Linked DNA regions of Caenorhabditis elegans. The protein of the gene in region 2 purifies or fractionates together with the protein of the main gene of each other region. This does not show direct contact. Each region holds a gene or a part of one and is shown on either strand. Other genes may lie near its edges.

Evidence for each region.
Region 1: the proteins of T10G3.1 (region 2) and tbca-1 fractionate together in Caenorhabditis elegans (co-fractionation; one large-scale study listed by BioGRID). This does not show direct contact.

The regions. Positions count from the first base shown.
Region 1 is NC_003279.8:2,310,324-2,313,535, reverse strand, and holds tbca-1 (Tubulin-specific chaperone A), read right to left. Parts: upstream 1,041-3,212; 5' UTR 1,027-1,040; coding exon 838-1,026; intron 787-837; coding exon 640-786; 3' UTR 579-639; downstream 1-578. Other genes in the region: eif-2gamma (protein-synthesizing GTPase), read right to left, coding at 1-28, 73-161, 216-225; 5-cytosine rRNA methyltransferase nsun-4, read right to left, coding at 1,491-1,694, 2,362-2,437, 2,480-2,682.
Region 2 is NC_003283.11:13,468,255-13,475,547, forward strand, and holds T10G3.1 (uncharacterized protein), read right to left. Parts: upstream 5,426-7,293; 5' UTR 5,272-5,425; coding exon 5,127-5,271; intron 2,551-5,126; coding exon 2,393-2,550; intron 1,807-2,392; coding exon 1,588-1,806; intron 1,535-1,587; coding exon 1,436-1,534; intron 1,390-1,435; coding exon 1,054-1,389; 3' UTR 812-1,053; downstream 1-811. Other genes in the region: ppcd-1 (Flavoprotein domain-containing protein), read right to left, coding at 1-14; F25H9.7 (Succinate dehydrogenase assembly factor 3), read left to right, coding at 185-261, 318-438, 485-550, 602-751; T10G3.8 (Cyclin-dependent kinase inhibitor), read right to left, coding at 6,079-6,119, 6,165-6,222, 6,267-6,320, 6,458-6,662, 7,088-7,257.

The DNA.
Region 1 (3,212 bases), on a different chromosome or scaffold from region 2:
TATTAATCGTGGCTTGTCGAGAGATAACCTGAAAAATAACTCTTTAACTCAAAAATTATTGATTTTCAGTACCTCCTCGGTGAGTGGGTTCAAATTATCGACTCCGACTTTGTCCAAATCTTGTTTCGCAAGCCAGCTCTGGCACTTGTCCTTTTCAGCTTCTAAATTAAGAAAGAATTATGAAATTTTCTTGAAACCGAAAAGCTAACACTTACCAGAAGCCATATTTTTTGTTTTTATGATCCCAGTTGAGTCGATTATTGATCTTTAAAAAATTATCATTATAATTAATCGAAATTACTCAAAATTAATTGAAAATCCATAAAGATTGCATAGAAAACAGGCTAAAATTGGATAAAATTAGAAATGGGTTAAAGGCGCATGGGAGTGGTTGGAAGGGTCTCGATGCGATTTCGTGTGTCGATTTACGAGCTCGAATTTTATGTTTTGCTTTTTAGCGCGAACCAGGCAAAAATCGTTGAATTAACGGACATCTGTATATTTTTCGTATGGAAATATTAGCGAAATTGCTTCTTAAAATTATTTATACGGCATTATAAACCATGTATTCAAGTAAAATGCAATAATTATTCATCATAAATCACCGAAAATCCCAAAATAACAAAAGAGTATCATAAATTAAGCAGAAATGGAGTCCACAAGCGTCTTCGCATTGACGAATTCTGCGGCTTCCTCCGGATAATTCCCAGAAGCAATCGATTCACGGAGGTCGGCCACAGCTTTTTGGAGACGTGATTGAGAATCGCGGACCATGTTGGCAGTTTCCTGAAAATATTTTAATTTCGTATACTCGTAAATCGGATTATTTCAAAAAACCTTAACAATATCCTTCGACTTCTTGGCAACATACTCCTCGTCCTCGTTGGTGGCGTCGGCGGCGAGTTGGGCAGCCTTCTGCTCCTCCTTCACAACTTGCTTCTCGTAATAGGCGACTTCTTTGACGAGACGTTGCACGGTTCCCGTCTTGATTCGGAGCGCTTTCAGCTGATCGGCTTGGGTCGACATGGCGGCGGGAGGTTCTGCAATGTGAATTTTTGAAACAGAGAACGAGATTGTGAGCTTGCTTTTATGGACTAAAAATCGATAGAAAAAGGCGCAATACCACCGAAAATGTTGTGCTCAATGAGCCGAAAAAGGACGGGAAAGCGAGCAGATGGTCAGACACGCTCGGCGATTTCGAAATAAATACAAATTGACCGCTGTCTGTTGGGCGACACAGGTTCCCGCCAAAAAATCGACTGTTCAAATGATTTCGCAATACATACATAGAGAACGAACAAGAAGGATCAATGAAAAATTCTATGAATTTGAAATTAGGTACTGATGGAACGGCAGATGCACCCATGGGGGTACTGCATAAATAATAAAATTTTAAAACAAGACATAAATTTAAAAATTCAGATTTAAAAAAAACAAACAAAAAATAGCAAAATCTAGAAATTTAAAAAAATTCATCAAATATTAAAAATCTATTGCAATCTGGTCAGTTTGCAAATATACATTGGTCCAAAGTTAGAGGGTAGAAACGGCACGACGAGGGCTCCCAGTGGAGTGTCATGGAAACGATAGAGGCCTGATGACGTCATATGGGATACGAGTTGATGTAGGGATTCCTCGACGGTCACGATTCCAAAGTCATTGCGTACGACGGCTACAGCGTTCTCGACGACTGCCTGAAGAAATTTGAATTAGCATTTTTGAGCTGTTATTTCGACAAAAAACCCCGGTCTCGACACGCCAGAAGTACTGTAGCCGCGAAAGTACGCAATCACCGGATCCTACGAAAAAATGCATGCAGAATTTCGGGATTTTTTTTGAGGGAAAATGTTGGGATCGGGCGAGAGTTGAAGCCAGAATCAAATTTTTAAACGGAAATCGTCAAAATTTGAAATTTTGATTTGATTTTCTCAACTGTTTAGTGAAAATTCGAGATTTATAGTGTTAAAAGAAACGATTTCTTCACATTTTAAACTTTTGTGAAACTATCAGAGCAAAATTTGAGCATTTCGGGGTACTGTAGCGGTGAAAATACGCAAACACGGCAGGGAGCGCAAAAAAAAATGCAGAATGCGATTTTTTTTAAACTAAAATTGGAAAATAGCCGAATATTGTTTTGAAAAATTGAGTTTTTCACGTTTTTTGTAAAATTTTCATCGATTTTTCATCAATTTTCGAATTTTTTACAAATCGAGAAAAAACTATATTTGTCATCATTTTTCAAGGAGTTTTTCAAAAATCGATGCAACAAAAAATTTGGAACTACAGTACTCCTTAAAGGCGCATATATTTTCCTATTTAACAAAAAAATTTGTCGTGCCAAGACCAGGTTCGAGCGAAAACCTCGTTTTGGCTTGGTGAGAGTGTGCACGTCGAGTAGACAACCGAGCCACCAACTTTTACAGATCGCAGTGCATTTCTGAAAGGAAAAATAATTTGAGGGAAAGCCGAGGATCCTTACACAAGAATCTTGGTCTGAAGAACCGGAAGATCAAGCCTCTGCTGAGTGGATCCTGTGCTGAAAAGGTTTCCGTCGTCGGTGCTGACTGATAGACGATCCGTCGAGCACGGAACATCGACGAGCACTTTATCGTAGGCCTCGAATTCATCCCAAGTTTTGACGTCGGACGCGTCCTTGCGTTTTAGGACGAATTTGTCGATTGTCTGCAGGAAAATTTTTGGAGTTTTAGCTAATTTTGGAGGGATTTATATTTAAAAAAAAGAATTTTCGACATTTTTTAATCGAAAAAAAAAACTCTAATTTCAAAAAATTGTTTTATTTTCTGATTTTCCTCAAAAGAGCAGAAAAAAGTTGAAATAATTCGTATTTAATTCAATTTTCTCACTGAAAACCCAATTTTTGAGGTGTTTAAATTGGAAAAATTCGAAATTTAAATCTTGAGAAAAATTCACATTTCTGAATGAATTTTCAGGTGTTTTTAACGAAAATCGTCATTTTTTCAAGTAAATTCTAGAAAATCGAGTGAAAATTTCAAATGTTGGTTTTTTTAAAGAAGATTTCAAACTATGGAAAAAAGTTAAGTGAAATTTCGAGAAAATTCTAGTAATTTAAGCAAATATTCGAAAATTTTGGAAATTTTTGAGCCATTTTTTGGTGAATTTTCGGATTTTAAATTTTAAAAAAATTCCGAATTTTAAAGAATTTTTTTGCGAAAAAAATCGGCAATTTCTCC
Region 2 (7,293 bases):
AATTCGTCGGACATGTTAACCGAACAAGTTTTGAGGAGAATATGACGAAAATTCTTGAAAAAATATTCCGAGATTATGTTTTTCCGAGAGGGCTACACGACCGAATGTGTGCGTTTTCTAGGCCATTTTGGCGTGTACTCCACTCGGACTCACGTGCATTTTTATTTTATTTTTTGTTTTTACAATGAAAGCTGCTCAACAAGCTGCAAGGGCCATTAATCCCGAAAGATTTCCATTGTATTTGTACAAAAGCATTCTTAGGTAAATTTCCGCTCGTTAAAGTATCTTTTTATCTAAAACAAATTCCTGATTTTCAGACTTCATTATGGATTGCCGGCTCAAGCTCGGCTCATGGGCGATACATATGTGAAAGATGAATTCAAAAGACACAAAACGGCAAAACCGGAGTTTGTGAAGCCATTCATCACAGAGTGGACGGTATGTCGATGGTGAAATTACGTTAAAAAAATTAATTGTTTTTAAGAATTATTGTGTGATGCTGTCCAAACAATTATCGAGCGCTGGAATTCGAAAAGGAAACATTGGAAAAGTTAGTTATCTTGTCTTATTATTGGTTCTTAAAAATTTTTGTTTTTTTCAGGATTTAGACTCGGATAAAATGGAGCAACTCAGCAATGAGCACATTCAACAATTGGTAGAATTGAGGGTAGAAGCCGATAAGCACATGGGACGAGACGATTTTCTTCAAAATCTTCAAAATGTCACGGAAAGTCGAGAAAAGCCAATATAGAAGATCCTTGCCGATTTCTTTAAAGAACTGGTGTAGAAATTGTTGTTAGTTGCAAAGTTTATATAAACATTTCATTCAAAAATTGACAAATCAAATGTAAAACAGAAAAATCTATCGTCAATGCTTGATTAACAAACTACTACCAACACTGGAAGAGCCAGAGAGAAAATGCTTTTGATTTTTCATAGCATTTGATTAATATGACGATTTGTATGACAGTTTATCGATAAACAGACGAATAAGATCGTGTACAGGAATATTGATAAGGATACCCGTTTCAGAGAAAATCAAAAAATACAAATCTACTTTTGGAAAGCATAAAAAGTGCCAAACAAATTCAGATATTCTCCATATGTCTTCTTGATTTTCGGCGAATTTGGCCAATTGTCAACTTGGCAATAGGTTTTACGCATCAATTTGTAATAGTAGACAAGTTTCTCGGCTCTCCAATTACTACATCTTCTGAACATATCGGAAGATGTATCTCTGGCTTCTCCACCTCCACAATACTCTTTTTGTTGCTCATTTCGTTGACGGACAAGTCTATAGTACATTGTAGTTTCTGCTTGAAGTTTTTCAATAACTTCATCACTCAATTTTTCTTTATTTGCCAAACATTCCTCCTCAGGTTCTTCATTCTGAAAATGTCCAATTTTAGATTTCTTCTCAGAACGGAAAATCTACCTCCGTATCCTCAGTAGCTGGTGGCGGGGGTAGATCATCTTCATCAATGTCTCCCTCAAACTTCGGAACTGTTGTAGACACTGAAATCCATGCTTTTGCCTGAATTTTAAACTTCTATTTATCATTGATTTCAAATCTCTAGAAAATATCACCTCTGCACTAGCTTGCTGATCAGACGGTGTTGTTGAGTAGTAGGAAGGATCTTCACCAACGACAATTGGCTCAGATGATCTATCCGTAGTAGGTGTAAGTTCATTTGAAGTCGGTTGAACTACATATTCAACTTTTTTGTACATATCATCGTTAGCGGTTAATGGTTCTGTAGGTGCTGGTGATGGATGTTGATCTGGTTCATGGACAAGCTCAGCAGTCTAAAAGTCATTTTGAGATTTTGTTGCAAATGAAAAATCTTAGACAATTTGAGGGTTTAAATGTTTAATTTAAAACTTACGAGCCGCCGAGAACTCAACATATGGTAATTCCGTCATTTGCCAAACGAGAAGCGCACAGAGTTGGTCGGATGGGTCTCGCCACGAGAAAAAAGTCGATGACAGTACAAACTTTTAAACAAATTTTCGCTGTGAGACCGATACGAATCCATGTCCATGTGCCTTTAAGCACGCGTTTCATGTACATAATTGCGAAATTTTAATACAGTAATCGATCACTTTTTGACAAACTATAATTTGCTGTAGTAGTGAGAAATAAATGGCGTTTCATAAGTTTAAAGAAATAATGGGAAAGTGGTTTTTGCACTATTTATTGTGCAATTTGTGACATAAGAATACGATAGCGGGTCTCGACACCATCAAAATTGAACAGTTGTTTTTATTTCTTCTATTTGTTTTTCTTGGTTGCGCTGTTAATCTCAATTTTTGAGAATAAACCTAAATGGAAATTTCCCATAGGCTGTAGAACTACATAATAAACTTTATATTCTAATAATTGTGTTATTACCTGTTCCGTAGAGACCAATTCTTGATTTCCATCATTTTCAGCTTTAACTCTCTCCACTTCTCTTACAGGACTCACAGTGACCTCAGGTGCTGAATGTGTTGTGTTATCATCAATTAATCGTATCTCAATTCTTTCAATCGGAGCATCTAATCGTTGAACTGAAAATACTTCACTTAACTAATATTGTGTTGTTGCTTGAATTTCCGGCAAATACTCATTGACTCCAAAATCATTGACTACCTTTTCTCATTGCCTACTCTTTCTCATTGCCTACCATTTGGTCATTGTCTACTCGTTTTCTTCATCAGTCAAGAGGCGCGTACAAGGACCGTATTCCAAGAACACATCAAAGGTACATCTACTCAATTTGTTCATTCATTCAAAGGGTATACATAATTACAATCTTTCAATCTGTACACAACATTTCGGGCAACAATTAGTAGTAGCTGAGTCATGTTTTAATTTATATTAATTTTGATAGGACACGCAAAGGCAGGGCAACATTCATTAAAACATTCATCAATATTAATAGCAACAATAGCAACAAAAAACAACAATTAAAAATTTGAAAAAAAGTGGCATAGAACGTAAAATCAATAACAATGAAATTTGGCATAAGAAACATGCGGAGTCGGAGTCAATCACTCGTTTTCTGCTTTTGAGCATATAGGAACATGACGCCGTAGTATCAGACGTGTCAGACAAGGATGCACTGGAGTTAATAGTGGCTTTCGATCTAAAAATGAAATAACCTCCAAAACTCTCTGAAATGAGTATTTTCAAACTGACGTATCTCAAAAAATACACATCTGGAAAACAAATGTCCAACTAACAAAATGATCAGAAATATTTTTTCTCTCTAATTCAATAGTTTTTATTTCCACTATTAACTCCAGTGCATCCTTGTCTGACACGTCTGATACTACGGCGTCATGTTCCTATATGCTCAAAAGCAGAAAACGAGTGATTGACTCCGACTCCGAATGAATTTCTTATGTCAAATTTCATTGTTATTGTTTTTACGTTCTTTGCCACTTTTTTTCAAGTTTTCAATTGTTGTTTTTTGTTGCTATTGTTGCTATTAATGTTGATGAATAATGACTGTTGCCCTGCCTTTGCGTGTCCTATCAAAATTAATATAAATTAAAACATGACTCAGCTACTACTAATTGTTGCCCGAAATGTTGTGTACAGATTGAAAGATTGTAAATATGTATACCCTTTGAATGAATGAACAAATTGAGTAGATGTACCTTTGATGTATTCTTGGAATACGGTCCTTGTACGTGCCTCTTGACTGATGAAGAAAACGAGTAGACAATGAGCAAAGGGTAGGCAATGAGAAAGAGTAGGCAATGAGAAAAGGTAGTCAACGAGCAACAAGTAGGCAATGAGAACAGGAAGGCAATCAGAACAGGTAGTCAATGATTTTGGGGTCAGAGTATTTGCCTGAATTTCCACATGTTTTCCTCTCACTCCAGAGCCTCCTAGACACACAAAAAACGATTCCAAGGACATTATTTTCTCAAAAAAAAATTTATTTCTGATTATGTTGTTTTCTTCTTCAAATCGAAGAAAGAGATATATGTGTATGAGAGAAATCAACTGAGCAATCGGTAGTGCACGTGATATGAGCACAGGGAACATGTCGAGCATCAGAGTTGTTGTTATTGAAAATGGATAAAGTTTCGAAAAGTGAGTGAGTGGAAGGGAAATGTGTATTCTTGACGTTTTATGACTCATACAGATATGTCAGGAAAAAATTTGGTAATTTGCCCAATTTTCAAAAATTGGTTTCTTGGGAAACCTCGAGACTTTCTGTAAATCTGAACCTATAAAATGTTCGAGTAAGAATAATACAACCAGTTTTAAAATTTGAACAATAGGTTCAAAAAATTTTTTTGCAGAGTCAATATTATGGTAGAAAAAACTGAGTTCCCCATTTTTCGAGAGGAAGCAAATTTTTTTGAAACTTTTTTGCAACGTTTCAATGAATTATACCTTTAAAGAACAATTTTTTTCATCTAAAATCGTCATAAATATTTGGAAATTTTTTTGGATCATTCTCATTAAGTTCGATAAAGGGATGTCGTAAATCCAGAATAAATCGTTGACCGAGTTGTTTACTTTTTCTAGGTCACATAGTAGACCGGTAAAGTACACGTGGAAAATATATTTGAAACCAAAGATTCAATTCTCTGAAATTCTATAAAAATAAAGAAAAATCACAATTGAAATTATTTTGCAAGAAATTAAAAAATTTCTTTTTTAACAAATTATTTTCTTTTTCCAATGTTTATAATCGATGTAAAAATTTTTATCCAATTTTTTTGCCAACCTTGCACCAATTTGCAACGAAAGTTGAGGCAAAAACCACTTTAGTTCATAAAATAGAGCTTCCTTAAAAATTTCCACATACCCGGACCTCTCATCATTCCATTGTTTTGGAAGAATTCTAAATAAGATATTGGTTTTTTTGCTGATACTTCTCATTCTCAACACGTCTTGCAAAAACTTGGCTCACGCGATCCTAGGAAAATTGGAAATTCCATTTAAAAACCCGATTGTTATTTTCAAAACATCACATTCTCACATCATTGTTCATGAATGAGAAATGAGACCAAAAAGAAAGAGGAAAAAGAAGATGTTCGTGTGAAGACGACAATGATGATTATGACATTTATCTATTGGTCTACATCTAATGTTCTACAATATGGACCTTGTTGGCTCGAACCTGTGAACGTCGGATGAGTCGTCGTTACATCTTCAGATCTTCTGGATTCTAGATTATCATCCTCTGTTCCATCATGTCCTACTGGGCTTGTTTTGACAATTGAACACAGAAGTATTAAACAAAGGGAGAATAGGTAATAGTTCATAAGTGATGTGAGATGAATAATGAGACAACCTAGGGGGATCCTCACGAATGCTACAAGATGAATAGAGAATCGAGTGAGACGACGAAGACGACGAAGACGGAGAAATTGTTGAGCAGCTGACACATGTCGTCGGATGGAAGAGCCAATATTATTGATCTGATTTGACCTTACCTTTCTTCTTGTTGTTTTGACACCTGATTCTTATATTGACGTCAGGAACAAGAAGAGGAAGCAACGAGGAGATGACAATGAAGATCTGTGTGATTTGTTGTTTTAATATTGTTAAGCTCTAGTTTTACTCTATGACGTTGCAGTCACATATTTTTTATGGATTGTAAAATACCTACCAAAATTTTAGATTTTTTAGTCACAAATTTCACTGGAGGATAACAAACATTTAACTAAAATTTTGTTAAAGGTAGAGTAGCGTCAGTCTATAAATATTTCACATCATCACTGGTGACTTTTTTTAAGAGGTCGAACAATATCCCATAATTCATTGAAAACTTACATCATCACATTCTTTTATCCAGTTTCTCATTATATTAGGAGCAACTATAGAAAAATTAGTTTTGCAATTTTCAATGTTATGAAATATTTTGATTGAACTGAGTGAGATATGGACTGTCAAAGTAAAATGGTCGGGTGCAAGTCTAATAGAGGAAATTCGATTTTTGTTAACTTCGCAATAAATATATTTATAATATGTTATTTACTTACAAATTATTAGTTATTGAATAATTTAGGTTACATTGTAACAGGTTATAAATTATCTTGATTGACAATTTTAGAGTAGGAAATTTCCAATCACTTCTGTGGAATTGACACTCCTCTTCTCAACGGAATTGCTGAAACTTCTAGATTAACTCTTCATCATGGTCTTCTAAGCTTACGATTCTTTCGCAAATACGCTGCAGTCAACGATTCATCGGCTACCGTCACAAAGTTTGGCTGAAACCGTTCTTTTTCAATTCCATTAATTTGATCTATTGTACCTTTAGACTTGGTGGAGCACTCAATTTTGGAAGAGGGGCTTTCGAGGAGGATGACTGAAACAAAAGAAATGTGCTTTGAACTTCCCCTCTCTACGTGCATTTGGTTCAATTAATTTCGAAAAGAAAACAAAAAGAAATAACATCAGATAGTGTTGAATTTCCCTAATTTCCTGTTTTCCACAACTTCTTACCCGCTTTCTTTGCGTTGGAGTTGACAATTTACGTAACGGAGATGGCGATTTTCGAGTAATTACACGGACTCGAGGTTGAGGAGATGCATTCTTTTTTACTTCATTTTTTGGTACTAATGAAGTTTGACGACGAAGTTTGAATCTATCATGATTCGAAATCAACAGGGAATCTTCATTTTTGGAATCTTCAAGTTCAATGCCAGGGCTGAAGATAATAAGTATGAACATCATATTTTTCATAATAAGACAATGAAACGGGATATGAACAGAATGAAGTACTTGTTTTCAAGAAGAGTTTAGGTTTATTTTCTACATACTGTAAACATTTTCAAAGAAGAGAGGAAGAAATAAAAAAAAATTGCGCAGGTCAAGCATGAACGGTATATAAGTCTACGCAATTTGGAGCAGAGTTTGGCTAAAATTGAAATACATAGGCAATGTACATCGAATACCATAAGTAGAGCTCAGATTGTTGAATTCCTCGCATATGTTTGAAGATTTTCATAAACATTTGAAAATTATTCTTTAAATACGTCATTTTAAAAATACTTCCGGAATGTTATTTTTTAATAAACGCGATTTTTCAAAAATCTTCTTATTTAACACGGTTATAATTTTTTGAAAGCTTACATCATCAACATTTCCCCATCAAAATGGTCTACAATTTTGGCGTCAGGAGAGAACAATTCTTTGAAAATCGCTTCCATCTTGACTTCGGAATCTTTTCGAAAAAGGTGTTTCTTTTTATCAACATGTAGAGAGCCCGTAGATGAAGTGGTTGAAGATTTTCTGGTTAGATGCTGCAAGATGATATTCATAAAAAATAAGGAAAAGGT